7 linked regions of the Nothobranchius furzeri genome follow. The protein of the gene in region 2 purifies or fractionates together with the protein of the main gene of each other region. This does not show direct contact. Links are inferred from orthologs where the notes say so. Each region holds a gene or a part of one and is shown on either strand. Other genes may lie near its edges. The genes, in order: snrpa, prpf19, ctnnbl1, plrg1, sf3a1, cwc15 and snrpd1.

Region 1 (3,857 bases), on a different chromosome or scaffold from region 2:
CCGGCACATCTTAGAAAGGCCTCCTCACTGGAAACTTTTAAATCATCTTTAAAGACCCACCTTTTTAGCTTGGCTTTCAACACGTTTTGGATTTCTATTTGATTTGTGTTTTATTTTAGTGTGCTTTTAACCTTACACTGTATTCTATTTTATGCTTTTATGTTTTTATGTTCAGCACTTTGGTCAGCGAGGGCTGTTTTTAAAGTGCTTTATAAACAAAGTTGGCTTGGCTTGATTAAGCAAATGCAACTCTAAACTCAATTCCTTTCTTTGACATTTCAGACAGGAAATGTTGAGTTATCCTTTATGCTCAAACCTGTTCACACACACACACACACACACACACACACACACACACACACACACACACACACACACACACACACACACACACACACACACACACACACACACACACACACACACACACACACACACACACACACACACACACACACACACACACACACACACACACAGCGAAAGAAAGAACAGTCTAGTGTTTTACCAATTCAAATTTTAATCAAGATAAAAAAAAAAGAATAGCTCCAGGTACAATGTCTGGTGGACCAGACACTGGGTGCAATGCTTTAACAGTTTATAATAAAAAATTTAAACTATGAAACAGAAAAACAGAGAAGTGGACACCAAGTTGCGCAAGCATTACAGATTAAAGCCAAACCATTGCACAAAGTTAGAGCTCCCAGTTTTTCACTCCAACTTTCTTAACAGCAACTTGACTCAGATACTTACATGTACGGACATGTATGCAAATTAAATCAGGACCTGGTGGAAGATGCGTTATTTCTTGGCAAAAGAAATCTTCATGGCGTTCGTCTGAGTGATCTTAAAGCCCTGCAGAGCATCTCGTGCCGCGCCAGCCTGCACCTCGTTTTCAAACTCCACAAAGGCGATGTCGTGACGACCAGGAACAAGACGCACCTCTTTGAAGCCGGGAAACCTTTAACGCACAGAGCAGCTCAGTTACAATTACAGAAAAAACAGTTTGAGAGAATTAAATTCTCAGATTATTTGCAATGTTAGCATCACAAAACAGTCAAAGTTGATCCATTTTTACGCATCTGTTTAAATGTATGACTAGAAAATGAGTACTGACTGGTTGAAGAGCATGGACAGCATGAGTTCGTTCGTCTCCTCTGGCAGGTTGGTGAGAAAGAGAATGTGGTTGGGTGGATTTTCTGAAACCTGTGGGAAGAGAGTAAGGATTAAACTACCAGGACAGGAAACAAAACGTTCTGTGAGGAAAAAGAACACAAGCTACCTGCTGAGGCATCTGTCCTGGCATCATCTGACCAGGAGCAATCCCACCAGGAGGAATCTGGCCTGGAGCCATCCCAGGAGGAGGCATCATTCCAGGAGGGGGCATGTAAGGTGGCTGGCCTGGAATGTGCATCATGCGAGGAGCCTGGTTCATTGGTGGCATTCCCTAAAGAATGACAAACGTTTAGTTTCTATTCATGTTAATTGAGCTTTTAACTCTTAATGCATCTAAAACCTGCCGTTACTTCACTAACAAATATCTAGATTGTTTAACCATGATTGTAAAAAACACCTAGTGCACTCACTGGGATTGCAGAAGGTACCCCAGCAATCGCTGCAGCATTTTTTTTACTTCCTGTAGATTCAGGTTTGGGCTTCTTCTTTTCTTTTTTACGGTCACGCTCCACAAAAGTCCCCTTCATCTTAGCTATAATATCCGAATCCATTTTAGAGTACTGGATTCGCTGCAAGAAAGTATATATTTGAGTCACACGTGTACTTCCATCAGAAATGTCTAAATTGTGCATTATTAAACATGTTTAATAGACGTACCATAGGTTTATCATAGAAAGGAAAACCCTGCATGGACCTTAATGCATTAGAAGCGCTGTTAATCTCTTTAAAGATAACGAACGCCTGACCCTTCATCTTCAGGTTTCGTGCGACCAAAATGTCCAAAATTTGCCCAAACTGAGAGAAGATGGCATAAAGGGACTTCTTCAGCTCTGAGGGAGACACACAAACAACAAATAATCAATAACAATAATAAAGGAGACTTTGCATTAATTGTGCGTGAAATAAACAAAGAAAAGGAAAGAAAATGATGCGAAACTCACCATCTTTCTTTATCTTCTCGTTTAGGTTGTTGATGTAGATCGTGTGATTGGGGCGCACCTCTGCTGGAGTGGTCATGTTTAAGGCTAGGAGAATAAATAAAATAGCTAAAAATAAAATAAAGACTCAAACATGTGCTTATTTTCACGCAGTTTCAAGTCCAATTTCATTCAAAAATCCAGCATCTAAACGCAATGGTAACAAACATGGCGGAAGGCAACAACAGCGTGTTAGCTAAAAGCTAACTAACAGCATTTAGCGTCATTAATCTGCCTAAATACTTCTACTAGTTCCAACGTTACCTCAAATCGTTTAAGCTTGTCAAAAATATTTTAAATCAACAGTTAAAATGCACTTAACCATGTAAAACGCGTTAGATGTTGACGTAGTACCAACCTGAAATTGAATGAAAGCTCCGAGACTTTTTTCCCCAGAAAACAAGAGGAAGAAATTCTTCTTCTTTGTCTTATTTGTTGGTTACCAAACCGTTCTGGTGAATTACCGCCACCACACGGTGTAAATCAAAATAGCGAAACTCAAAACACCATTTAACTTACAATGGCTAAAACTAAAATGGTTTTTCTTCTTATTTACGCTGCTCTGGGTGGCTGCATGTTGGAGTAGCTCTGTTAACTATATGTAAGTTTAGCCTTTTCTTGGACATTTTTTCTTCTAGTTTCTCAAGAAAAACGGTATTTTTTTGGACACTTTACTTTTCTGTTTCTGGTGCTGTGAAGCTTGGAGGACTTTTGCTGCTATTGTTTAGGTTTTTTCACTTTTTGAGCATTTGTTATGATGCGTAACCATGGCAACAAGCTGGTTTACAATCGGGAGCAGCTGTTTAACATTGAAAAGGCTGAAATAATACCTCAACTGACGCGACAAATCCCAAATTAACTAAAACGCAAGAAGCGTGGGTGCAGAGCGGGAGCAAAACGGAGACAGAGAAAGAGGAAATTCAAACCATCTCTCCCATCGATCATAATGGGCAATGTGAGATCACTGGCCAACAAGATGGAGGAACTCCAAGCCCTTTCAAGGACTCAGTCAGAGTTTCGGCACTTTCTGAACCACTGGAGGAGATAATGCAAAGAAGGATTCTCCAGAGAATCAAGAAAATTATGGACAACCGTGAGCATTCTCTTCACAAGACTGTCCGACAACGGAAGAGTGTCTTCAGTCAGAGGCTTCTTCAGTTTCGCTGCAACACTACTGGAGATCCTTCCTGCCAACAGCCATTGTAATATACAATAACTCTTTGATGACTTGATTATTATTATTATTCTGAGATACTACAGCAATCAGTTTCCCCCTGGGATTAATAAAGTATTTTTGAATTGAATTGAACAGTAAATCAGAAATACTGGAAAAACATGACGTCAAAAAAAGGCAGAGTAGACAACCTAAGAAGAATAACAGTAACTTTACAATAAGGTACGTAAAATTATGCTTCGTAACTAGGGAACGACTTAGGGAGTAATGAGTAATGAAGCAGGGAAGAATAGGTAGTTAACCAATACATACTGGTGAAAACCCAACAGTTTTATTCAGGGACTAATCTTTGAACGCATTAAGGAACAAATCCCAAATGAATGTAGTGCCTGTGGACTTTTTTTTTTTGTAAACTTCATGAACAATGCAGATAATTTGCAACATCACAGTGATTTAACATCACTGTTTCATCTTGACTTCACACGTCTGTCACTTTTTTGTCCATTGTCGGCATCCGTCCATCGCAAGAT
Region 2 (4,090 bases):
TGAGCAGGTAGTCTCCAGTAGCATGAAGGGACAGACCGGTGACGCTGGCTTCGTGGGCACGCACCACCTGGATGCAGTTGCCCCCGGTAACAGACCACACACGGATGGTGGCATCAGGAGAGGCAGAGAAGACCATAGACTAGAGGGGAGAACACGTCAGAGAGAAGGATCACACCTGGCACGTTCCTTCAGTTATCAATAAAAGACCCCCAACGGACAAAGACTCACCTGAGATGGATGGAAAATGACAGAGGTGACCTTTTTGGTGTGGCCTTTAAGAGTCGCCACAATCTGCTCCTCGTTCTTGTCAAACACCACCACACTCTTATCAGCTCCACCTGGAGGACGACAACACAGTCAGCGTTGGACTAAATCGGCCCCGAGCGGGTGATTCGACACAACGCCAAATCAAATAGGACAGAGTTAAGCTCAGAGTACCAGTGAGCACTTTGCTGGTGTCTGAGGGACACACGTCCAGGGACAGAATACCAGGCACACTGGCGCTGTGAAGACCCTGAAGCAAACAGGAAACAAGTCCACCAGATGAAGCACATTCAGTCGTTTATAGGACCATCTTCATCATCCTGGTTCTGCACTTACAGCGTGGGAGGCCACTTGGCGGTACTTGCTGAGATCCTCGGCTCTAACCAGCTCCTCTGGAACAGTTTTTCCCCTCTACAGAAGCACAAGGAACTTTTTAAATCACACACAATCACAAGATATAAAAACTTTACCTTCCGTTGGAAGTTATAACTATAACAAGGAAAAAATGCTACAAACCTTTTTCCTCTCTGTGGTGAGAATAGTAGCCTTGTCTTGCAGCTGGAATGATCAAACAGATTAAATTGTTTAAATAAAATGAAATATGAGCTTATAATAAAATAATAAAATTCTGTGGACATAAAAAAAGTGTTTTACCTTCTGGATGATCTCTGGAGTCATTCCCACCTGTTCACTGATCTCCATAGGCTCTCCACCAGCACCCTGCAATACAAATGTGAATATTTTATACAAGAGGACTAAAACTACCAAGAGCTGAGGGTTAAAACAGTTAGGCATGGGTCACTCACTGCTGCAGCAGGCTGAGAGGCGGGGGCGGCCTGAGGGGTCACCAGTCCAGCTTGAGGTTTAAGTGTGGCCAGAGCTGCAAAAACAAAATAAACACATTTAGGACATTTTAAACGTGCTTATGTTCCCATTTAACAAATAAACCTTTGAAATAACACGCCAAGTGGCTATTAACATTTTAGAAACACCAAGATGTGTCTTCTTAGGACATACAGACCTTCTCTTGCAGCCGTGACCTCCTTGTTGAGTCGAGCGATGACTCTGCAGGCTGCGTCGTGTTGATAAAGGGCGTGAGAGAGTTCCTGGCGAGTAGTCTGCAGTTGCTGCCGCAAGGTGAAGCTGTGAAGCATGACGGCATCCTGTAGGACGCATAAAAAAAACAACTCTTCCTGAGATTTGAAATTAATTTATTAGAAATGACAGCAATGTCTTTAATACTTGAGCTTACAAACCCCAAAATTACTTCAAAAGTTACGTAAAAGTGTCATATGTTGATCTATGTGTTTGACGAGTTTTCAGATTTATTTTTGTTCAAATAGCAGCTGTTGTGTGAAAAATAAAAGGGTGATTCCTGTTCTAAATAGTCAACAATAACACACAGGTGTGAGGTGGACGAGTGTCCTCCTGACCGTTTCCATCACTCACCCACTCATCTTGAAGAGACTTGAGAATAGCTGGGATGCTTGTTGCTGATGGCGCCTTTGGTCTGATGGGGTGGGTCACTAAGCGGGAAGACATTTTCCAAACCAGGAAAAATTCAGTCAAACCTTTTTAAGTTAAATATGTTATTTCAGTGTGCAACTGGATTGAACTGGTACAGTTTATTGAAAGGCCCAGACTTATCAGAGTGTTACTAATAATAAATTAAAACCATTATTTTAAAATTACGACTCAATTAAAAATAAAATAAATGAAAGATCAGATGGCCATGATCATTTCAGTTAAAAACGACGCAAGACAAAAAGTTTAGTTATTTACCTTTATTATAATAAACTGTATTTTTAATTTTGATCCCTTTTGATGCCTGGATTAATAATCGGTTAGCCTTAGGTTAAATAATCTGTCCCAAACAACCACTTCAGTGTGAATAACTCAGCATTTCATGTTTATCATGTTAAACAGGCTTTAATACAATGCGAATTTCAAACTCGTCGTTTACTCATTAATTCATTCGTAGTGTCCAAAAATATCAAGTTAATCAAACTTAAATAAAGTCAAATCGAGGGTGTAGTTCACCTTTGATGTCCACTAGCTGCTCCTCGGACAGCGGCTGTCCGTTCATCGGGTCCGTCCCATTCTCGGCGATGTACTTCTCTATCAGCCTCCGCTCAAACACATGATTGGACACCGGGGAGATGCACGGGTGCTCCGGCACCTCGTTGCAAACTACAAACAAACAAAAGGAGAGGGCGCATAACGCTCACAACTCAGTAAAAACAAAGAAAAAAAAGAGAATGGAGGGAAACTGAAGTTAAATACGGTTTGCGTGGCCGCTAATGTTAGCTTCATTAGCTTGTAGCATTAGCATGATACCGAGCTAACTCACAGGCGCCGTCCTGCAAATTTTCATCTTCACTTACTTGCACAAACCAAAGACATGTTCCAAACGCAGTCCTAACAGTGCCCTCCTAAACGTAGACTGTGTTTTTTGGCGTCTTGAATTTCCCCCCGCTTGTGAACACTTATATTTAGTTCAAACTGGAGATAGCACGCTGTCCTTTCATTGCCGCTATAAAGGAACTGCTTCCTTTTTCTTCGTCGCTGGTTTCCGCCAACAATCAAACCGCACTCATTTCAGTCTGCACTGCCCTCCACCGCTTAAAACACACCACTGCACTCTTGAAAATCTTACAGGGGTCTGCAACCAGCAGTGCAAGTGGCTCTTTAGATAAAAATTATTTTAAAAAGCACATTTTTAACATAGACATATTAAAAATTGTTGGTTAAAGCAGCTTTTCGGGTTTTATGGAATAACTACATTGAATATCCACATCAAAATGAAACTACAATTACCATTTGACATAATTTTCCACAAATATCAACATCCCAGAGAAAAATCTCCATTCTACGTTTGCCAAAGTATTTTTTTTATCATTTTAAAATTGACTAATGGAAACAAATGTTGGATATTTTTAAATGACAGCAAATCTAATAGTTCCTTATTGAAGAAGGCACAAATATTTCTTGCTTTAATCTCAGAATTCTCCCATTAATGTCAAGACATCTGAGCAAAAAAAAAAAAAAAAAAAAGAAGATAACTTTCCTCTACGTTAAACCTCCAACATAGATTTTTATCATAAATGGCGTTTTTCCTGAACGTCCTCTAACAGTTGAGGCTCTGAACAATTATTGGGATGGACTGAGAGAAAAACGGCCGTTTGGATTGTAAAGAATGCAGACCCATGCTCAAGCAGATTTCTCTATAGTCAAAGAATAGATAATATGAGGCGTTTGTGTTAAATATACATTTTATTGTTTTAGAGACAACCTTCTGATAGTCAATAATGAATTACATTAGTGATGCTATAATATGTTCCCAGATTTACAGGCTGTTGCCCTATAATAGGTTACATTTCTACAATTGTCTAGAGGGTAATAACACTACACCTGCAAAATAACTTTAACTGCAAGACAGATATTTATAATATTTTTTGCAGCAGTCAGGAATGAACAGGATGATTATGCACTTTAGTTTATGCTATAATAATGTGGCATTTTAATAATTTTCTCTTGCAAACCTTAGAGTAACTATGTTGACGTTTATGCAGACCTAGGGATCATAGAAGGCCAATGAACACTTGAGACACCCGGCAAAGACAGTGCAGATCATGTTGGTCCTGAGGGTCTGGAGGTAGGTAACAGCAGGAGATTTCATGAGCACCATAGTGCAATGTGTGACATGAAGGGTAACGCTCAACCCGTGGTTCAAAACTCAGTACAAACCCAAGAATTAAAAGTGTGCAAACTGGTGCACATGAGATTGTTCATGTCAGCTTAGAATCATCTACTGTAATATTTCCAT
Region 3 (4,222 bases), on a different chromosome or scaffold from region 2:
CATGAAAGTTTCTATCCAATATTTCACAGTTTTACACTTTCAATTCAATTCAATTCAATTTTATTTACAAAGCGCCAAATCACGACAAGAGTCGTCTCAGGGTATTTCACATAATAAACATTCCAATTCTGGTCAGTTCATTAAGTCAATCAGAACAAAGTTTCCTATACAAGAAACCGAGCAAATTGCACGCATTTGCACTTAACTTGCTATCTTGAGACACCATCTTCATTATGTGATCGGTGTCATCTTTGAAAAAAAAAAAGTAAAACAATAGTTGAGTAACAACTTATTGCATTGTTCATAAACTGAGCTATTAAGCATTTAGATTACTCGTGTTTGCTTTGATTTCCTTTCCCTCTCTCCCCTTGCCCCTCGTGCGGTTGGACGTCAAGCTTCAGTGCTTGGCAGTGGCCTTCCTTTTGAATGTTGTCTCTATTGCTCTACTGTCACAGATCACTGGCCAGAGACTGGAGAGGCAACAGAGGCGTCGACACTGCTCTCCACTCAGACATTTCACAATGTTTCTCACTGAAGGGGTGATTTTCTGCTTGTCTGGAACAGTAAGAGATCCGGGCATATAAATGTCTGCGGTTATGAATGCAGCAAAATTGAGCCCATTGGACCAGAACTTCATACATGTGGCTTTGAGGAGGATTGGTAAGGAGCTCATATTGTTATTAAGTCAGCACAAAGGTAGCATAGTTATGATGCACAGACATTGATTTCTGAGCTTATTAGTTCATGCACATGTAAAGATATTAAAATAATAAGCAGGCTGGTGTCAATTTCTGATACTTCATTGTATTGTATTTTTAGTGTGCAATAAAATAAGCAAAAAGCAGATGTGCTGATTTTAGAGTCAGACAATTACCAAATTGATCCTAAGCGATAACCATTTGGCTGGCATAACAACCATATGTTTGAATTAACATTACATCTTTCATAATTATTATCTAGATAATAATCTTATTTTTAGATTGTTTGGTACAATCTTACATTGATTTACTTTGTAATATAACCCTTTTAGATACAGAGGAATAAAAAAAGCTAATTATTATTACAGTTCCATATTAATTGCTTGGTTTATGTTTACGTATTTGGCAGACGCTTTTGTCCAAAGCGACTTGCGGGTGACAATCAAGCCAGCAGGTTGCCCTGGAGGCCTTGGAAAAACATTTCTGACACACGAATTTATTGTTTTACTTTTACAAAAAAACAAGAGCTAGTTTTATACCAAAGGTTCATTCACTCATTCTCTCATTCTCTCTCTCTCTCTCTCTCTCTCACACACACACACACACACACACACACACACACACACACACACACACACACACACACACACACACACACACACACACACACACACACACACACACGCCCCGCAGGAAGAAACTGTGGAGGCTTCTGCTTTACGACAGTGTTTCTTTTCATACGGCAGGCCAGCATTTTACGGCACAGCGCCGGCATGTTCAGATTTTGTTGTTAGCTAAAAGCCAATCGTGCAGGGTTCTTTTCTTAATTCCAAGTGCATTTATCTTACGGTGAAGTGATCTAATCTGAACAAATGGACGTCGGGGAGCTTCTGAACTATCAGGTATGTATTTTTTTCAAGCAGTCAACGCAGGGAACGCTCTTTCTGTAATCTCTTAACTGTTGGCATGCATGTAGCAACACAGCCTTGCTAAAAGTTACCAATAAAATCCAGAAAGCTGATTAGTTTCTTATTTATTTATGTGTGGAGATCTACGAGTCTGTAAATTACCCATTCCTTGCGCTTCCATGGTAATGGAGCAGTTTAGCTTTTCTCATCGAAGAAAAACGTGACAGTTAGCTTGTTAGCTAATGAAGGCTAAGGATCGTCAGTTTATGTTTGCGTGGTTATTTTTGCCTCCCCTGGCTTTCCTAATGGATGCCTTTGTCTAGAGTAGTGTTTACGTCTATGTTTTTTTGTTTTTGTCCACAAAGAACAATAAAATAATCACTTATGACACTTTGTACTAACATGCAATCCTCTGCATCAGCTCTCTGTTTTTATTAACAGTTTTATTGTTATATTTGTGTCTTATTGTAAAATAGTTTGTGATTTTTATCCCTAAAATATTCCTGAAAACGCTTGTTTATTTTTAGAGACAGCAAAACGACCTGATACAAAGGAGTTTCATATAATAGTGTCAAGCATCACCCGAGAGAAGGAGCGGAGCTAGCTTTCTTTTAAATTTATTTCACATTAATTGAAAATAAGAAGTATTTTAATGGCTTTCTTCGTTTTTTGCAGAGAAATATATTTTAAGGAAAGTAGCTATTCCAAAATAAGATGGTTAAATGTATGGGTCACATATTTATTGTAACTAAATGGTGAATTACAGTTTGGCAATGTAACCATTAACCTGATTAAATTGATTGTTTACATTTGTTTATTATATAATTTTACATATTATGTTGTCATTTAGTATGGTATAAGTTTTCTGATAAGTAAAAACCAATTAGACAAAAGAAAATACATTTTCAGAAATCCTGTTCAGCCCAGATACATTTTCTTTGTTTTATTTTTTGACCAAAGTTTGTAGTTTTGTTTTAATTTAAACAATGTGAGACTCACTCCACTCACTTTCACCTTATATCCATTTATTTTCATCTTTTAGCCTGATAGAGGAGCCAAGCGCCTGAGGAACGGTGATGGAGGCGCAGGAGAAGACGACAACTCCAGAGGAGGGAAGCAGCTGAAAGGTCTGGGAGCGAGGGAGCTAGCTAGATACAGGGAGGCTGAAGGAGGAGCGGAGATGAGAGAAACTGAAGAAATAACTGAAGACCGAAAGATGATCTTGGAAAAACTGATGGATCAGGATGGGGAAGAACCTGAGGTGGGTAAAGGTCCTTTTCGTTAAGGGTGTGTACTTAAGTGAAGCGAAGCATGATTTATTACATTGTTTGTGTTAATCTGCCTAAACTGAACGCTTCATCCGTTTTCTTGCAGCAAATTTAGAATTATTAAGATAATAGCAAATTAGTAATCTAACCATTATATTGTTAGGGTTAATGCACCAGAATTAGACAGAGCAGAAATAATCGTTCTATCCATAGTTTATTGAACGTCTTAGATATTTTTGTAGTTTAATAATTAATATTAAGTAAATTCACTTTAAATTAATAATCCTTGTTGATAAAAACTAACCAGAGGATACTAAATTCCTGCTAGTGCAGTTATTATGTATCCTTAAATATAATTTCTACTTGTTTATATCTTTCTTTTACAATTTCACCAGTAAGAATATTATTTGGACATGGATAAATTATATTGCTGTATTATGTAGAACTGGACTTACAAAGAGGGGTTGTTGATTAAATGTTAAAATGGCCTGCCATACTGGCTTATTGTAGACAGGGAATTGTACAAAATTACTAAATGAACTGTCGTTCACTGTATTGTTCACTGTTCTAATATTACTGTTAAATCCCTTCAGTCACTAACATATTCTAATTATTTGTCTGCCTGATGATCTCAGACATGACAACATGTAGGAGATGTTGCAGCTTTTTTTTCTTGCCAGCTCTTCAGGTGGACGAGCCGTCGTGCTAAATTTCTCCTTTAGCAGCTTTGAGAATTTAAACTATTTCCTCACAGGAGACTTCAAGTGTTTCTCATGTGGAAAGGAAGCAGTCCCGGTGGTTCCTGAAGCTGGTTCTGCTGCGTGCGTCAGTTCAGTTTCACTTTTGTTTTGGTCCGTTAATGTCTTATTTATTTTTGGTGTTGGAGACGTCTTTATGGTGGGTTAACTGCAGCATTTCACGGCTAATCACTGCAACCCTGCAGGTCAAAGCCACGCCCTATCGTAGCCTCAGTACATCTATCATTGCCCTGAACAGTTTTGTGTCGAGCCAATCACAGAGCTCTACGTTTGTTAGGTGGGCTTAGAGCTGGAGCTGCGATGGAGAAAAACAACAAAGATGGCGCTGGCCGCTGGCTAGGGAACAGTGCTCGTTTGAAACAGCCTTGGCATCAACTTTGGACAATTTAGACTTGAGCCTTTCTTTGAGACTCGACAAGATGGATGTACTTAAAGAGACAATGTGTAGTTTTTACCATTCATTTCTGGAAGTATCCATCAAAATGTTGTTAAAGATAAATATAATGATGCCCAGTTGTTGACAAATATTGGCAGCTTTGTAACAACTTCCTGATGTAAGAGGCGAGTCTCCTCTTTGTTTTGTTAGTTTT
Region 4 (4,184 bases), on a different chromosome or scaffold from region 2:
GATGACCCTGAGCTAATCCAAACAACGTACCTTGTTGTACTCCAGATCCCAACACTTGACCTGTTTATCTTCTCCACAGGAGAAGAGGTACGGACTGCGGCTGCTCACTGCTACACCACGAACGGTACTGATGTGTCCAGTCAGAGACAACTTCAGCTTCCCACTGGCCAGGTCCCAGATCTGTAGAGACAACCACCTTCCAGTTATCTCTGGATCATCACAGAAGCTTTAACAGCAACAGAGCCACCTTGGTATCACTCCCAAACGTTTTAACCCTTACCTAACATTAAAGCATTTTTTTGTGCTCAAATGACATTAACGTTAGAAAATGTAAACGTTGGGTAAGGGTTAAATACTGAAAGGATTTCTTTTTAAAAAACTGTATTGCAATGTCTGCACCTACACAAAATACAACAACCTGAATGTTTTACCAGCTCTAGATCAATAACAGCTCTTTACAGAATAGGAAAAACTATTTGGTGGAGAAGATGAAGTCTAATAACAAATCTAGACAGGTTCAGTCCTCTGAGACTTGTTACCATTAGAGACAAAAAGTAGCTTAAACCTGTTAATAAAGAATATAAAAAGCAGTTTAAAACCCTAGACCATTACTGATCCCTCTATCAACAGAGCTTTACTGCTTATATGTATTTATGGAGAATGAATGAATGAATGTAATAACAAACACATAAAAGCTGGTGTTTTACTCAGCCCGCCCGACCTTTATAGTTCTGTCTGCTGACCCCGTGACGAACCACTGATTTCCCGGTTCCACGGCGATGGATCTCACCCAGCCGAGGTGTCCGCTGATAACCTGACAGATAACGGTCACCACAGTTAAACAAGGCAGCTTCTAATTATTAATGTTGTAAACAAATGCAAGACAACTTGTGAAACAGTTGTTACGAACCCGAAACAGTTTCCACGGTGGATGCCACTGAGGTTTGGGCATTGTTGGAGCTCTCCTTATGAGCGCTGAGTTTCTGGTGCCACCTCCATCTAAGAGAGACTAAAAGATATACTTCAAAAGGTCATTAAGGATTTTTTTTAAGTAGCATGAAAGACTTATGAGTAGAAATAAACTGGCCAACTGAACGACACATTCATTAGCATTATAATGTAATTTTTATATTGTAAAATTAGTTTTGTATGTTTGTGAAGCATTCTGTCTTGCAACACTGTTCTGCTTACAGAATTTGATGCGACACTACCAGAATGAATAAGCAACATAAAAGTTCCATGGTGTTAAAGTTAGCTGAGCTCGCTATTTGTTTTTTAATTTATTTTCAAATTAGTGATTTTCTACTGCAGAAAAGAAACCCAATCTCTACTGGATTATTAGCTTTACACGTCTTTTTAAGACTCTATAAGCACTAACAAGCATTCTGGAAAAGTAAATTCACTGTGGTTTACCACTGCAGTGGACGGAGGGTGAATTCTCTCTGCTACTCCTGCATGTCTATGGATCTCTGCAACGCTGGCTGCAGTGCGACTGGCGTCCTGCCTGAAAGTACATGACATAGAGTATGTCAGAATATTTATTTTAACCATAGATCTGTATGCCAAATTGTTACCAGCATGGATTAAAAATAAATAATAGCCTACCTTGCTAGTGAGGGTGGTAAAGCCAGTGTCAAGGAGTGCACCGCTCCTTCACTGGGATTCCTGTGGATTTTAGTGTCGGCGGTGAGTGCCACACCTGTGGAGCACAAGCTACTGTTAGCACAAAATTAAAAGTAGTGCGGATTCCTAAAGTAGCAGAAAACAAATCTACCTGGTCCAGATGGATAAGCATTGGTCCCGGTAATCAGGTATTCTGGATCATCGCCTAAATAGTTTTAACAGAGTGAAAACATTATTAACTTTGGCTTAATCGCTCAAAAGAAGTTAAACAATCTATGTGATCCATAAAACTATGCAATATTTATTTTGACGGTTAACTAAGAAACAGTCACAGTGTGTTGCTCCCTTACCTAGCTGTGGGTAGCTCTGATGGCTGAGCATGCCGTCAGGATGATGTGAGACTCTTTCTCTGCCCTCCTTTAGGATGGGCATGTGTAAAACTGGTCCATACTCTGTCTTTAGTTTCACACCCATCTTCTGTTTGTGACTGCAAACACAGTCATTCATATACATGTTATACCGCCAAAATGTAAATGTTATCTAATTGAGCAACAACTCTAAACACCGTAAAAAATAGTTTCCTCAGAAAATATAAGCTGAGCAAACATCCATGTTTCTTCACTGAACGTTAAGCAAAAAACGTATCCCGGCGCATTAGAAAACATTAGTGAGGTTTGATCTGTAAATATTTACAAACACACTTTGGAAGCAGCCTGGGTTACCTTTCGTCATCCAGAGCGATAGCTTTAGCATGGTCGGCTACGAACATGTCATGCGTCCTTTTCAGCGATCTGAAGACCAATGTGTGGACAGAGTGCTTCTGGACATCCTGTAAAAAGCGAGAATTTTATTTAAAAAACATCGCATATAACAACCTAATAAAAAGTTATTTCTCACTCAATAAACAGTGAAACGGGCAGAAAAAGGCTATCAATTCCAGTAAATAGACAGGCCCGGGAGTGTGTTGGACGTTTCCTAACATCCTAGCGGACACAAAAGACATACATGAATGTATAAATCCATACCTCCGTCATTTTATAGAGGAATATACCGATAGAACAAAACTGAGGAGGAAATAAAGGTCTGCCTCGGTAAGTACAACTTGGTAGTAAAATAAATCCTCCTGACCACCACGACAAACCGAACGTTTGAGATAACCCGGAAGTAAACACGACCAAGAGTTGTTAAAGTTATATCAGCGCCACCTACCGGTTTGGATGATTCAACCACTTTTCCTGTTCATCATCAAGGGCTAAAATGTGACAGTTCAACGTATGAATAAAGCATAAAATTATTATTTAAATGTTTAATTGTTATTAAGGATATTTTCTATCAAATGACCCACCATGCTAGTTATGAGATATCTAAACTGCAGCTGTTACACACCTGCTTTAGACTCTATCAAAACCTGGATGGTGGGAGCTTTCTTCAGCTGAATGAAGATAAGACTGAGATCCTCATCTGTGCCCCAGACAAGCTGGTTCCCAAAGTCAAAGACTCTCTTGGTCAGCTTGCTTCTCACACCAAACCTTCTGTCAGGAATCTTGGCGTGACCTTTGACCCAGCTCTCACCCTGGATTCTCATGTCAGTTCTGTCATGCTCTGAACTTCAGATTTCATCCACACCTTCGTCTCCTCATGCTTGTCCTGCAACATGCTTTTCACTTGTCTGGCTTTGCGTGACCTCATGATCACCCTATTCTTCCTCAATAGCTTCTTTTCAAGCTGGTGTTTCTGTTAATTCTATCTTTTTCAGGATCCAACGATAAGCTTCGATCTTTTTAAATAATAGAAAAAATGTTTTTTGTCATTTTTATTTTTATATGAACCACCTCGTGATTTTTTAATTGAGAGGTGCAATATAAAATTGTTATTATTATTATTATTATCAAAAATAAAAACAATAATAACATAATTTGGATTGACAAGGTTGACAGATTAAATTAATTCATGATGCACAGTAACACAGAAATACAACCAATTAAAATTTATGTCAACTGATGTTAAAAGATTTAAATAATAATTAACGTTCTAATGCATTTGAAAATAGTCCGTAGAGAAACAGATAAAGTAAATTGAATTTGGTAGGAGCAGTCCTGAAAATCACGTTTCATACCAATACACTCAAGTGTTTATTTGCAGAGTCATACAGCTCAATTTTCTGAGCTAAAAACCCCACATTTTATTTTTTACATGGCACTGGAATTTACTGCGAGTCAGATGAAGTTTGAACTCAACCATAGCTTTCTGAGGTGAATGTAATGATGCATCAGTACAAATACTACCAGAACAAAACTCAGAGTAGATCATTTGTTCAATTGTGAGCACAAAATAAACAACCAGCCTGACTTCTTATTAACTCCTAAGTGTAAGTTCTTATTCAGAGCTGGAACATTTGAGAATATAATCTCTGTTCCTTCTGAAAAATGGCTAACTGTGAGGGAAAGTGGAGGTTTGCATTTGTAAGATTACACCAAATAAATTAGATAATGAGAAAGGTTTAGAAGTGGGACAAACAAATTAAACAGCCAAGTTATTAAAAGAAATTGATTCCATGTAAA
Region 5 (3,981 bases), on a different chromosome or scaffold from region 2:
TCATGAGTGAGCTGTTAGGTAGTCAAGACTGCATCAAAAGCCTCCAAAAAGATCTGGCGGACATCCAAGCAGCCATCGTGGACGTCTTTTCCAGAACAGGACCGGTCAGCTTTACCTCTTGGAAGTTCCCTGACAAACTCTCCTGTAATGTGGACATGTTGGCTCTGCTGGAGGAGTACGACTATGTAGACGGAGAGGATGCCTTCAATCAGCACTCCCACATTGTTTTACTGGAATTAGTGATTGACAGGTAATAAAATGTGTTTTATATGTTATGCATTGTTACCAAAGTAATTCTATTAACATTTGCCTTTCTCCTTTTCTAAAAAGATTATTGCTACTTCTACAAAGTGTTAGTGTTTACAATGAGGTGCCGAGAGGCAGACAGAGAGGAGAGCAAACCCAGCAGACAACATACTTGTCAGTTGGACTCGTGGTCAAGAACTACTGTGGGAATTTACTCCTATCAGCCAACAAAAAGGTAGTATTAATGTTAGAAAATACAAAATACTCTAAAAATTGCATTTTAAATGAAAGATCTGGATACTTTTATGCTTTCTTTTTCACAGGAGCCCTTTAAAGATACAAAGCCATTTGACTCCAACAACACAAATATGGTGCTGTCCAACCCTGCTATAACTAGCTCGAAGACTGAACTTAGTAGCTTTTGTGCATCTGCCTTGTCTTCAGCAAGCTCATTTGATTTTGTCCCACAAACTAACAACACTCCATGCTATCCTAAAGCTGAGCAGCATCATGTGAGCTGCCAGACAACAAGTTCGTCCCTTATTCCCTGCAGCGCTTGCCATCAGGTGCAGTCCCTTTTGAGAAACACGGGAGATGCATTGATAGATCTGTTACAGAGTGAGGGTTTGCCCTCATCTCTGCAGCCTCTCGCAGCAGCTATGGAGGACATTGTGGGTGACATGACATCAGGCGATGTAGCCCAGTGGGCCGAAGAGCAGCTCCGGGACACGAGCCGGCTGACCAAACATCTTAAGGATGTCCAGGGTACTGTGCAGCCTCTTGAAGAAAGAATTGCCGTAGCTGAAATGGAACGTGACAGTTTCAAATCTGAGCTGGAAAGTGCACAGAAACAATTCAAGCAAGAGCTGGAAAAACACCAAATAAACTCTGTCCAGCTGGAGTTTTCTCTACGGAAAGCACAGAGATCCTCAAAAGAAACAGAGCAAAGGCTACAAAAGGAGCAACAACAGCTGAAGAGAGGTAGTTAACACAATCGGTTTTATAACAAGAATGTATTGACATCATAGTTTTTACTATAAATATTTTTCACATTTTTGTGACAGAAAATATGTCCCTGGAGGAGACTAATAACAGACTAAAGGAGAAAATAGCACTGCAACATGACAGCTTACAAGTGCTTGGTAATGAGATGCAGATTCTGTCATTCAACACATCTACAGTATGATGCTGCATAATGACGATTCATTTGCTGGTAGAAACTGAAAAGAAAGCACTCCATGAGAAAGTGAAGAACCTGCAAACAGAGAAAGAGGCCTGCTGCAGACTGCAGGAACAGATCCAACAGCTAGAAACTCAAGTTTCTGATGCTACATTTCTTCTTGACAAGGAGAAGGCCAAGTACAGGAGCGCCTGTCGTCAGCAGGAGGTCAGTGTCACTGTAAAGGCCAGCATAGCTATAAAGGGGATCCTTCACACTGTTTTCAATATAATTGTGTATCCAGTCAATGCTGGCAAAGCAAAAGTCGTTGCTGGAAAGAGTTGATGCTCTCGATGAAGAGTGCGAAGAGCTGCAGAGGGAGCTAGGAGAGAAAGAGGAGGAACGGATCACCTTACACAATCAGATGTCAAAGGTGGAGGAACAGCAGGCTCAGCTCATGCAGCAGCAGGTATATATGTGGCCTAAAATGCAATACAATTGTACTGTAAATGGCCTTAGTTATAATAAAGTCTGTTTTGTTCTTGTTCTTCCATCAGAATTTGTGTGAGGAGCTCCAGAAGGAGAAGCAGACATTAGAAGTAAATGCGGATGAGTTGAAAAAGCAAGTGGCTGACCTGACAAGGCGTGTGGACTCTTTAAAGGAGAGGGAGAGACTGCTGGTGGCTTTCCCAGAGCTCAACAACTGGTCCCAGGCCCAACCTCAGAGTAGGTTGCTACTGAATAACATTATCTGATTATATTTGATTAGATTTATTTCCAGTATAATAATAGCACATGACTTTATTTACATTCTAGGTACAGGAAACTTGATTTTGGATATGGAGCAACAGCTTCAAGCAAACAGAATTCGTATAAAAGTGATGGAACAGGAAAATGCTACTCTGCACAAAAGTCTTGAGAAATTGAAAACAAGAGCTCAGCAAAATGCCTGCAGGGTATGGATGTACACAAAGGAGTTTCATGTGAAGTAGATCATGCACCGTTGGGATTATTATAACTCATTTGTAATGTATGTGTCTGAATAGGAACCTGCACCTCTGCAGACATGAAGCCAGTTTTATTCCTTGGAGTTTCATGTAAAAAACCAGATCAACGTGGATGCAACTGACTAAATAAAAACCTTATTGTTGAAAAAACTGAGCTGACATGTTTTACTTGCCTTTATTAGAAACAGCGTTGGTTGCTTTATTAATCCTCGTCAGTGCTGCATTTCCTGTTTAGAACACGTCAGCATAAAGGTCTCTGAGCTTGTTCTCTCTGTTCCCAAACTTCATCTTGTGATGTGCAGGAAATGCGGGGGTCAGTGAAGATATGCAAATGATTCTGTTGCGGCCTTTTACCACCCAAAACGAAATAATTCCAACAAAAGGCCATGGGTGGCAACCAAGCCCCCACAATGCCGCTCAGAAAATGGTCCCATCCCGGAAGTAAGAAAAATTGCAGTTCCACCCTCATCCGCTGGGGGCTGGTGCCAGAAGCGAGCAAATCCTCATTGACTCCCATGTTAAAAATGCCGATTTCACAGCAGAAATAAACATGTTTACAGCCTGGTGCCAAAACATGTTTTTTGTCTAAATTATCTAGTTTATACTCATGACAACTCTGAGGGGGGTGAATTTTTTTCTCACTCTTCTGTTTAAGTGTATTGAAAGCCTAAAATTCTGTATAATTAATGAGCATCCAACACACGTGACCGCCGCCTCAGACCCACGTGACCACAGAGCTAGCTCCGTGGAAAGGCCTCAGTACAGCCTCGGTCTGGCTTGGAAACTGCTCCGGCATTTTGAGTCTCTGTGTTTGTGTATTCTTCTTTGGATATTATTGGTGCAATTGTTGGACAAAATGACTTGCAGTGGTATTAATTGCACTAATAGAGCGTCCAAGGAGTCTCCACTTCATTTTTTTCGGTAAGTTAAAATCTATATTCGTATTTTATGTCACTGCTACCTTTAAACTAGCTGAGTTTACCGAAGTAGCTAGCTAACTATCAGTTTAACATGTAGCATGTACTGTTTAACCATGAAATTTAAATGTAAAATACGGTAAAATAATTAATAGGGCATATTTAGATGGGTAATAGGGTAAAACCCAGTGCATTTAAGATAAAAATGGGTTGAAATATGACGGAGCGCTAAGAGGGAGACTTCTGTGTCCATTCTTCCATCCGGTAATCCCCAGCGGTCAGGCCGGGCAGCCTGGACGATCCGGCGCCTATTTGCTGCGCCTAGCTGCTGCGCGGTCTGACCGCTCGTGGAGTTTTTCATGTCTGACTTTAACCGCATCTAATACTGTATTACGGCGTGAGCGCAACAGCGACAACTTAATATCGATGTGTAAGCAGCCTGAGTGGTAGGGTGTTTTCATCTGAACCCTCCAGCAGGCTATGCTGCACTATTGACGTGTTAGCGCGCGGCGCTAACAACTTAGCAACGTGACATGTCTCTGAGAAAGCGTAAAACACGGACGCTTCTTCTGAAGCGGAAAATAACACCTCTTCTTAAGCAGAGCAGGATGTCGCCTCGGCTCGTTCACGGCCGAGCCGGACTGAGCTCGAT
Region 6 (3,831 bases), on a different chromosome or scaffold from region 2:
TCATCACTAAATGAAACAAATCAGCTGTGTTCATGATCTAAACCATGCAGGAAACTTGCTGGAACTAGACTGCAGCGCCAGGTATGTCAGCTCAAGTTCTTCTAAGTTCAACAGATCAGACCAGCAACTGTGAAGCTGCAAGTGGGATATTTTGGCCACAGGGGGCGATAGGGGCTGGGTGGCATTTCATTAACACTGTGAAGGGTTATTTTAGCACATACTGGCTCAAGAAAATTATCTAAAAATATGAACAAGTTACAAAGTATCTTTTAACCCTCGCCACATCCTTGAACTTTTGCAAAACCCATTACCTTTTGCACAAAAAAAGCACTAGGGAGTGGAGGGTTAAATGAAAAGCAACACTCTTCATACCCATTTCTGTGCTGATTTTAGGCACCCCACCCCTAGCATTTTTTATAAAACTTAACTTTTTAAGTTAATTTACCCTTTAAAATTAAAAAATGCACAATCTGTTATTTCTGTGAAATTATGCAAAGTAATTCAAGGGAAAAAAGTCAATGTTTATTCAAATAATGAAAAATGCATGACAGAAATACTGAAATCACATTCTGAAATGTGCTTCAAACTTTCATGATTTACGCAAACAGCAACTGACCTGCAGACAGTACGGTTTCCAATTAGTTAGACTGTAAATAAATGCCAGCTGCAATTAAAATGCTTGAAACTAAAACATTTTCAATTAAAAAAGATCAAATGAAACACACACACAAAGTCCTCTACTTTACATATTTCTCCATAAATTTCTTGTGGAACTCAGAGCGCAGCGTGTCGTTGACAAAACGTTTCTCTTTCCGCGCCTCATCCACTCCTTTGGCGCAGTTTTTGAACACTACGTCATCATCCCACCTAGAAGTACATCAGAATTATTAGTGGTGGTGAAGGAATATATTTGTTTTTCCAAATGCAAACAAACAAAAAACCAACATTCTTGCTGTAACAAGTGAACATAAGAAATACCTTCTCTTGACTCTGAATGTGTTCTGAGTTTGGCTCTGTTGCTGTTGTTGCTGCTGCTGCTGTTGCTGTCCTGCTAAATTTATCAATGGATTTCCACTCAAAATATTTTCCATTCGAATCCTCTCTTCCTCTGCCTTCTGCTCTCTTTCCTAAATAACAAAAGAAAAGCACACGGAGGTTAAGCCATCCTCTATAACATCACTTTTCATTTATAGCCAAAGCAAACACAAACTTAAAACTCTTTACTTTGCGTTCTTGCTCTTCAGCTCGCTCTTTCTTAATTTTTTCAAGTTCAGCCAGCAGGGCTGCAGTGTCGTCATCATCACTTTCTTCATCTGAGTTCTCGTCTTCGTCATCCTGTAATGTAAAAATGGATTAATAACTTTATCCAGTGTAAGTCTGGGATGTATTGCAATGTAAATCCTTACATCAGTGAGAGGGTCATCGGCATCAAGGTTGGCTGCTGGGATCTGATCCAGTCTGGGCCTTTTTGAAGATGATGATGATGAAGAAGATGATGTGGTGTGCTCTGAAGAAATAAAATCAACACAATACAGATTAAAGGAACTATGCCAGAAACCGTTGCATACATCCTTTTTGGATCTAATCTTTATTATGAGTAGAAAAATCCACCTCTTGGTCCCCTCTCTCTGGTCTTCTCACGAGCAGCTACACGCTCCCTCTCCTCCAGCTCTCGGCGAAAATCACGGGCACGCACTTCCTCAGGGGCATCCTGGGTAGGCTGCCTTTTAATTGAGATGAAAGAAACACAGTTTAAGTAGTTCGAATAAATATTTAAGGTTGAGAAACTGGAACCCACTGTTCTGACCTGTATTTGATCTTGGTGTGACCTGGAAGATCCCGACTGGAATACTGCTTAGAAAGAGCACTCAAATCCCCTTCTCCTTTTCCTCTACCCCCTCTCGCCGGCTCAAATGTTGGTCTTGCAGCTGTAGTCATCTTTGATGGCCGTGCTCTGGCAAAACGTAAAGCAGAAAATAACTGACCAATTCATAAATTACAATAAGTAATTTTAGATATACATCATAATAAGTCTAATGTTAATATGAGTTAAAACCTTTAACGATCAGTTTCCTCCTAAATGTTGTTTAAAACACAAGTTAGCTTGATAGCTTCCACCGCTAATCAGTTGCTAACAGGCTAACGTGGGTGACAATGCAATTTAAGGAACATTTCCTATTTTTAAAACCCAATGCAAGATAATTACGAGAGTAAACATGTTTGAAACACAAAGCTTAAAATAAACAACACAATTTAAATACGTTTTTAAAGCAACAACACTTACGAAGCTGCTTCCAAAAGTGAAAAGGAAACGTTCCTGTACACAACGGTGCGTCACTTCCGGAACTAGACGCGTTCAGGAACAATCGGAGAAAAATCGTGCATATTTTGACCGGCATGACAGGACTCCAAGAACCTATTTTACTTGTATTGTTTACGAGGTCGGCTGCGCAGTGGTTAGAGCTGTTGCCTTGGGTTCACTTCCCAGCCTGAGATCTTTCTGCATGGAGTTTGCATGTTCTCCCTGTGCATGCGTGGGTTCTCTCCGGGTACTCCGGCTTCCTCCCACAGTCCTTAGGTGTGTGTGTGTGTGTGTGTGTGTGTGTGTGTGTGTGTGCGTGTGTGTGTGTGTGTGTGTGTGTGTGTGCGTGCATGATTGTTTGTCCTGTGTGTCTCTGTGTTGCCCTGCGATGGACTGGCTTTCTGTCCAGGGTATATCCCGCCTGATTGCCCATTGACCGCTGGAGATAGGCACCAGCCCACCGCAACCCTACGTGGACAAAGCGGGTTCAGACAATGGATGGATGGATGGATGTTTACAAGGTCAATAAAATGTAGTGTTCAAATTAAGAAAACCACAAATCTTGTTTACTACAGTATGATAATTACAGACCAATCTTAGTGCTTCCCCAGTTTTCTAAAGTCCCTGTTGCCCTTTTCAAGCTGGATCTAACCTCCATCTGTCTGCAGATTCCTGCACCCGACTCCTGTTGAAGATCTCAGCTACATTTATGCTGCTCCCTTGTTTTCTCCATTAATTTATTGTTTAAAACCGACCGTAGTCTGTGAACTGATTCTGTAAGTCGTGGGTTAGACACTTACCTCACAACATGACACCATAGTGACTGGTATAATTACGCAATCCTTCGATGAAAGAAGGTCACAGTTTAGTCTTGTATGCGATCATGGTTCAGGTTTGCATTTCATTATTTTCTGACCTCCTGCTATGACATTTTTTTTACCTGAAGCTCATAAATATTCCTGAAAAGTTGAATAAACAGAAATCTTCAGTGCAATGCACCGATATGAAACTTTGGGGCTGATACCAATATCTGATATATCGCTGTTATGGCCGATAACCGATGTTTGCCAATACCGATATACTGACATTAATGCTTCTAAGATCAACAGATTTGTAAAGATTAAAGCTGAATTGACGTTATGTACACACACCACACATGTTTACACTGTTAGATGATTGCAATCACTGTCACATGACTAAACAATTACACATCACCTCCCTCACCCTCTGAAACAGATAAACAAATGAAAACAAGATGGAAAAATTATCAGTTAATATTGGCCCAGTTTAATGTATCGGACCAATACCGATATTAATGCCAATATATTGTGCATCCCTATTTTGAACCCTAACCTACTGACAAAGTTTGTTTGAAAGTTGTCCTCATTCAGATAAATACAAAGATGAAGAGATAAAGTGAAAATATTGCTGACTTCCCTTACCTTTACATATCTGACCTCATAACATGTGATAAGAATGAACGCTCAGACGGTGACTTTGAAAAACCCACGGACCAAAGTGTAAATATT
Region 7 (3,840 bases), on a different chromosome or scaffold from region 2:
ACACGCAACTCCACGCAGAAAGGCCGCAGCCGAGTTTCGAACCTGCAACCTTCTTGCTGCGAGGCAACAGTGCTAACAGCTGCGCCACCGTGCAGCCCACAAGTCGACGAAATTCATTTTATCATCTCTGAGCTGTTTACCTTCATTTTCAGTCACTTTAGGTTTATACGCTTTTAGCATATCGGCGTTCACACTACAGCATCGTTTGACTCGTATTTATTAGCTGCTTTAGAAATAAATCATTTATCATCACTTCCTTATTATAGTGAGGATCTTCTTTTGGTGTGTGTGCCTTCTTTAGTTTCTATTTGTTAACATTGTTTTTTAAACACGCTAAATCAAAGTTTAAAAGCCTAAAACATTTCATGGCGCAGCGGCCCGACGTTTAACCCCTTTATCTGAATGTTCACGTCCAGCTGACCTTTGATTTTATTTTGTTGGACGTGTGACTTCCTGTTTGAGCCCCGCTGTAACGTTTACAGGAGAATAAAACACGACTGCTGATCTGAAGATCGATTACTCAGTTGCTATGGTTAAGGTGGAGAGAAACCCCAAAAGGACATTATCTGTTTCCACATGAAAGATTTCCAGGAACACGTGCTCACCTGCTGTAATATTTCATGACTTCTGTTTTAAACCACTGCATAATTAGATTTTCTTTTCTAGAGTTCAACAGCAGATGCACTGAGTCGAGACTTTTTCTGCTCCAGAATATTAATAACGTGTTGCGTCAATCATGTGCAGGCAACACACAGAGAGGATGACGGTTTTATTTATTTTTATTATTATTAGAAGTGGAATAATGCTGAGTTTAATGGCCTTGTGCCGTTTTTCTTTTTGTGCTTCACACTTTATGATTTATTGGTCTCAGCCTACATCTTTGGAATAAAAAAAAGCACTCTCATTGATTATACTTGATACATTCCCAGCAGGTCTCAAGAAGACAGATTTGATGTGTGGCCAAATCTCTTAAGTATCGGTGCAGAGTTTACTCTTAATAAAATGAGCTGAAAGTGCTGCTTTGTGGTTTTATTCAACTGCGACAAGTTCTCTGAAGTTGTCTCCTGATCTGTTGAATGAATTAGGTCTTGATCAGTTAGGGTTAATTGTTGTGGATATTTTACCTTTTTTCATCTTCCAGATTTTGATAAATCAGTAAAAATGTAAATTTTACTACGACTTTAACACATGTTGCACATAAACACCGTTTTGACCTTTTGGTTGCAAATTCTGCAGATCACGAATCCAGCAGTAGGTAACGGTAGTGATCTTCCTAAATATTGATCATTTAGGGATCTTTGTTTTGGATATTTGACCTTTTAACTGCCAGATTCCAATAAATTAGTAGTAAAATAAAGATTGTGGATTTTAACACTACTGTAAAACATGTTGCACAGAAAAATAAAACAAAAGTGTTAGAACGGATCACAATTCCACCAGTAGATGGCGGTAATTACACCCCCTCGTCTTTGTTGTCGCCTTTTAGTGACGTCACATCCCTGAACGTTTCGAATACAACAGCGGCCTGTGTTTTCACTCGATCGCTGTAATTTTTGTCTTCGGTGGAGGATTTTTCTCTACTGTTTTCCATCATCATGAAACTAGTCAGGTAGGCGGCAGCGGGAGGTCCCGGATTAACCGGAGAATTAACGTAAACTGATCAAATGAAAGTGATGTGGCCGGATGGATTGGGATTTGATTAAACGGTGATGAGGCGGGAAGTGGAAAAATGTAATGGATCCTGAGCGACGTTACGGCGACCGCTGAGGGTTTAAAACACGTTCCTACGCACAGTTTTAATTATCAACATAGATGAACGTCTACTTTAAGTACATTTCTATTTCAATAAGTAAAAATATTAGGCTAGACGTTAACTCATTCAACCGTTGTAGCATTAGCTTGTCAATCAACTAAAGCGGCTCAAAATGGGGTTTTAACATAATTTGTTAGAGTTCATTTTGTAAATATTTAGTTTAGCTGTTAAACTGGTGGATAATCAGTGTTTTTATTGTTTCAAACGCTTTAAAAGTCACCTAATAGCCATCGGTGGCTAACTAGATAGCTAAAGCTAAGCTACTATCTAGCCTCTGCGAGAAATGTCCCAATTACGTTGTGATGTTTTCACTCAGTCATCGTGTGCAATGATGCCCACAGGTTTTTGATGAAGCTCAGCCATGAAACCGTAACCATTGAGCTGAAAAATGGCACCCAGGTTCACGGCACCATCACAGGTGAGCTCATAAAGGTGGTCAGATAAGCCAGGAGTCAGCTGAAGCTCTTTAATTTCAATACTAATGACATATATTTGTATGCATTAAGTAGATTAATACCCACAGCTGTGCTTTCATCCTCATAGTCAGACTTTAGTACAGATAAATCTGCACAATGTATGTTTTTGTATTATTTAATCCTATTTGATGGGATTTTTTTATGTTTAACAAACCCTAGACAAGCACACACACAACCTGCAAATTAAAATATTTTCTAATCTGTAAAATTAATCCTAAACTCAAGTGCCAGATGTACTTATGGCTGGTGTTTCATCCCTCCTCTCTGTTTTTCAGGTGTTGATGTGAGCATGAACACTCACCTGAAGGCGGTAAAAATGACCCTAAAAAACAGGGAGCCCACTCAGCTGGAGTCGCTGAGTATCCGCGGCAACAATATTCGCTACTTCATCCTCCCAGACAGCCTCCCTCTGGACACCTTGCTGGTTGACATCGAGCCAAAGATCAAGTCCAAGAAGAGAGAAGCAGGTGAGAAAGGTGAAAATGCATAAGATATGTTGAGTTGAATTTTATCTTAAGGTGTTTTTTTTAGAAAGTGAATCTGAATTCTCCTTTGCGTGAACAAAAAGGTTTTCACAGTGATGTAACTGGTGTGTTTGCACAGGTTTCTGCATGGGTTTATATTAAAAGAACTAAATTGTAACATTAACTGTACGACATAATTTAAGGAGTGGTTTAAAGGACCAGATGCTAAATGAGCAATATGGTGTTTGTGACACTTGTGCTGATGCTGCTCATCTGTCTCCTCAGTGGCTGGACGGGGACGAGGCAGGGGACGGGGACGTGGGAGAGGAAGGGGACGGGGACGAGGTGGACCAAGGAGATGATCGCAAGGCTGTTCTGTTGATTCCTAACACTTCACTGTTTGTACAGGATTTTTTTTTTCCTTTGCTTCATTAAAGCAGAAACGTTTTGTGAATTTCTGTGTGCTTTTTAGTTGGACTTTTTTTTTTGTACATTAAACTTCTGGTTAAGAGGACAAATTACTCTGACTTCTTTGTGTTGGTTTTTAATACTGAATAAAGTGTCAGCACATAAACTAGCATCATTAACTACTGTGTTGTCCCAATCAGATCCCAATGCTACTGGTGTACTAGCCAGCCCCACGCTTCCTTGTGTATAAAGTTACACAGATGAGTCTGGCAGGCCAGGCTCTAAAATAAAAATGTATTTTATGAAATTATTATTTAGTCATCAGACCTTTATCCCACTACAGTTGACAAAATAAAGCAAAACTGTTTATTTAGTCAACTTTTAGGTGCAGTTTCTCACATCAGTTGTGATAATTGGTAAAACTGCACATGTAGGTGGGGGAACGTTGTTTTACATTACACCGGGGACCAAAGTCACCGCTAGATGGCGGTGTAGGAAAAGTGACCTGGTAGATGGTAGCCTATAGGATGGCTTGCCGGGCTAACGTAGAGGTTCGTGGAATGACGTAAATCATTGCCCAAAGCTAGTTATTTTATATTAAACGATCATCTTTTAACATATTCGTCACATGTCGAAGGCACCAGGTTCTTTTCGAGCAGGAGTATTTTTATCACAATGT

Evidence for each region.
Region 1: the proteins of prpf19 (region 2) and snrpa fractionate together in Homo sapiens (co-fractionation; 3 studies listed by BioGRID and IntAct, with this or other methods). This does not show direct contact. The link is inferred for Nothobranchius furzeri from reciprocal best matches to the Homo sapiens genes PRPF19 and SNRPA.
Region 3: the proteins of prpf19 (region 2) and ctnnbl1 purify together in Homo sapiens (affinity purification with mass spectrometry; 4 studies listed by BioGRID and IntAct, counting the BioPlex papers as one, with this or other methods). This does not show direct contact. The link is inferred for Nothobranchius furzeri from reciprocal best matches to the Homo sapiens genes PRPF19 and CTNNBL1.
Region 4: the proteins of prpf19 (region 2) and plrg1 purify together in Homo sapiens (affinity purification with mass spectrometry; 8 studies listed by BioGRID and IntAct, counting the BioPlex papers as one, with this or other methods). This does not show direct contact. The link is inferred for Nothobranchius furzeri from reciprocal best matches to the Homo sapiens genes PRPF19 and PLRG1.
Region 5: the proteins of prpf19 (region 2) and sf3a1 fractionate together in Homo sapiens (co-fractionation; 3 studies listed by BioGRID and IntAct, with this or other methods). This does not show direct contact. The link is inferred for Nothobranchius furzeri from reciprocal best matches to the Homo sapiens genes PRPF19 and SF3A1.
Region 6: the proteins of prpf19 (region 2) and cwc15 purify together in Homo sapiens (co-immunoprecipitation; 4 studies listed by BioGRID and IntAct, with this or other methods). This does not show direct contact. The link is inferred for Nothobranchius furzeri from reciprocal best matches to the Homo sapiens genes PRPF19 and CWC15.
Region 7: the proteins of prpf19 (region 2) and snrpd1 fractionate together in Homo sapiens (co-fractionation; 3 studies listed by BioGRID). This does not show direct contact. The link is inferred for Nothobranchius furzeri from reciprocal best matches to the Homo sapiens genes PRPF19 and SNRPD1.

Annotation. Positions count from the first base shown.
Region 1 is NC_091753.1:42,104,708-42,108,564, forward strand, and holds snrpa (U1 small nuclear ribonucleoprotein A), read right to left. Parts: upstream 2,639-3,857; 5' UTR 2,512-2,638; intron 2,202-2,511; 5' UTR 2,194-2,201; coding exon 2,118-2,193; intron 2,007-2,117; coding exon 1,834-2,006; intron 1,746-1,833; coding exon 1,587-1,745; intron 1,448-1,586; coding exon 1,283-1,447; intron 1,207-1,282; coding exon 1,118-1,206; intron 962-1,117; coding exon 802-961; 3' UTR 501-801; downstream 1-500. UniProt on the Homo sapiens protein: Component of the spliceosomal U1 snRNP, which is essential for recognition of the pre-mRNA 5' splice-site and the subsequent assembly of the spliceosome. U1 snRNP is the first snRNP to interact with pre-mRNA.
Region 2 is NC_091741.1:94,861,653-94,865,742, forward strand, and holds the start of prpf19 (pre-mRNA-processing factor 19), read right to left. Parts: upstream 2,801-4,090; 5' UTR 2,668-2,800; coding exon 2,649-2,667; intron 2,455-2,648; coding exon 2,305-2,454; intron 1,791-2,304; coding exon 1,714-1,790; intron 1,428-1,713; coding exon 1,286-1,427; intron 1,145-1,285; coding exon 1,071-1,144; intron 985-1,070; coding exon 919-984; intron 823-918; coding exon 781-822; intron 676-780; coding exon 601-675; intron 515-600; coding exon 439-514; intron 339-438; coding exon 229-338; intron 140-228; coding exon 1-139. UniProt on the Homo sapiens protein: Ubiquitin-protein ligase which is a core component of several complexes mainly involved pre-mRNA splicing and DNA repair. Required for pre-mRNA splicing as component of the spliceosome.
Region 3 is NC_091755.1:51,817,520-51,821,741, reverse strand, and holds the start of ctnnbl1 (beta-catenin-like protein 1), read left to right. Parts: upstream 1-1,422; 5' UTR 1,423-1,570; coding exon 1,571-1,600; intron 1,601-2,648; coding exon 2,649-2,867; intron 2,868-4,222. UniProt on the Homo sapiens protein: Component of the PRP19-CDC5L complex that forms an integral part of the spliceosome and is required for activating pre-mRNA splicing.
Region 4 is NC_091744.1:17,230,025-17,234,208, forward strand, and holds the start of plrg1 (pleiotropic regulator 1), read right to left. Parts: upstream 2,801-4,184; 5' UTR 2,658-2,800; coding exon 2,649-2,657; intron 2,453-2,648; coding exon 2,346-2,452; intron 2,111-2,345; coding exon 1,974-2,110; intron 1,829-1,973; coding exon 1,775-1,828; intron 1,700-1,774; coding exon 1,606-1,699; intron 1,505-1,605; coding exon 1,414-1,504; intron 1,010-1,413; coding exon 911-1,009; intron 815-910; coding exon 722-814; intron 181-721; coding exon 31-180; intron 1-30. UniProt on the Homo sapiens protein: Involved in pre-mRNA splicing as component of the spliceosome. Component of the PRP19-CDC5L complex that forms an integral part of the spliceosome and is required for activating pre-mRNA splicing.
Region 5 is NC_091757.1:36,509,583-36,513,563, reverse strand, and holds the start of sf3a1 (splicing factor 3A subunit 1), read right to left. Parts: upstream 2,801-3,981; 5' UTR 2,586-2,800; intron 2,567-2,585; exon of another isoform or gene 2,476-2,566; coding exon of another isoform or gene 2,452-2,475; exon of another isoform or gene 2,398-2,451; coding exon of another isoform or gene 2,222-2,397; intron 2,132-2,221; coding exon of another isoform or gene 1,963-2,131; intron 1,875-1,962; coding exon of another isoform or gene 1,710-1,874; intron 1,634-1,709; coding exon of another isoform or gene 1,464-1,633; intron 1,389-1,463; coding exon of another isoform or gene 1,311-1,388; intron 1,228-1,310; coding exon of another isoform or gene 570-1,227; intron 482-569; coding exon of another isoform or gene 331-481; intron 251-330; coding exon of another isoform or gene 3-250; exon of another isoform or gene 1-2. Other genes in the region: ccdc157 (coiled-coil domain-containing protein 157), read left to right, coding at 3-250, 331-481, 570-1,227, 1,311-1,388, 1,464-1,633, 1,710-1,874, 1,963-2,131, 2,222-2,397. UniProt on the Homo sapiens protein: Component of the 17S U2 SnRNP complex of the spliceosome, a large ribonucleoprotein complex that removes introns from transcribed pre-mRNAs.
Region 6 is NC_091750.1:48,553,361-48,557,191, reverse strand, and holds cwc15 (protein CWC15 homolog), read right to left. Parts: upstream 2,436-3,831; 5' UTR 2,285-2,435; intron 2,200-2,284; exon of another isoform or gene 2,057-2,199; intron 1,955-2,056; 5' UTR 1,939-1,954; coding exon 1,808-1,938; intron 1,725-1,807; coding exon 1,612-1,724; intron 1,508-1,611; coding exon 1,407-1,507; intron 1,336-1,406; coding exon 1,225-1,335; intron 1,128-1,224; coding exon 979-1,127; intron 868-978; coding exon 738-867; 3' UTR 501-737; downstream 1-500. UniProt on the Homo sapiens protein: Involved in pre-mRNA splicing as component of the spliceosome. Component of the PRP19-CDC5L complex that forms an integral part of the spliceosome and is required for activating pre-mRNA splicing.
Region 7 is NC_091759.1:18,894,640-18,898,479, reverse strand, and holds snrpd1 (small nuclear ribonucleoprotein Sm D1), read left to right. Parts: upstream 1-1,471; 5' UTR 1,472-1,595; coding exon 1,596-1,609; intron 1,610-2,154; coding exon 2,155-2,231; intron 2,232-2,564; coding exon 2,565-2,765; intron 2,766-3,038; coding exon 3,039-3,115; 3' UTR 3,116-3,340; downstream 3,341-3,840. Other genes in the region: gamma-glutamylcyclotransferase, read left to right, coding at 3,837-3,840. UniProt on the Homo sapiens protein: Plays a role in pre-mRNA splicing as a core component of the spliceosomal U1, U2, U4 and U5 small nuclear ribonucleoproteins (snRNPs), the building blocks of the spliceosome.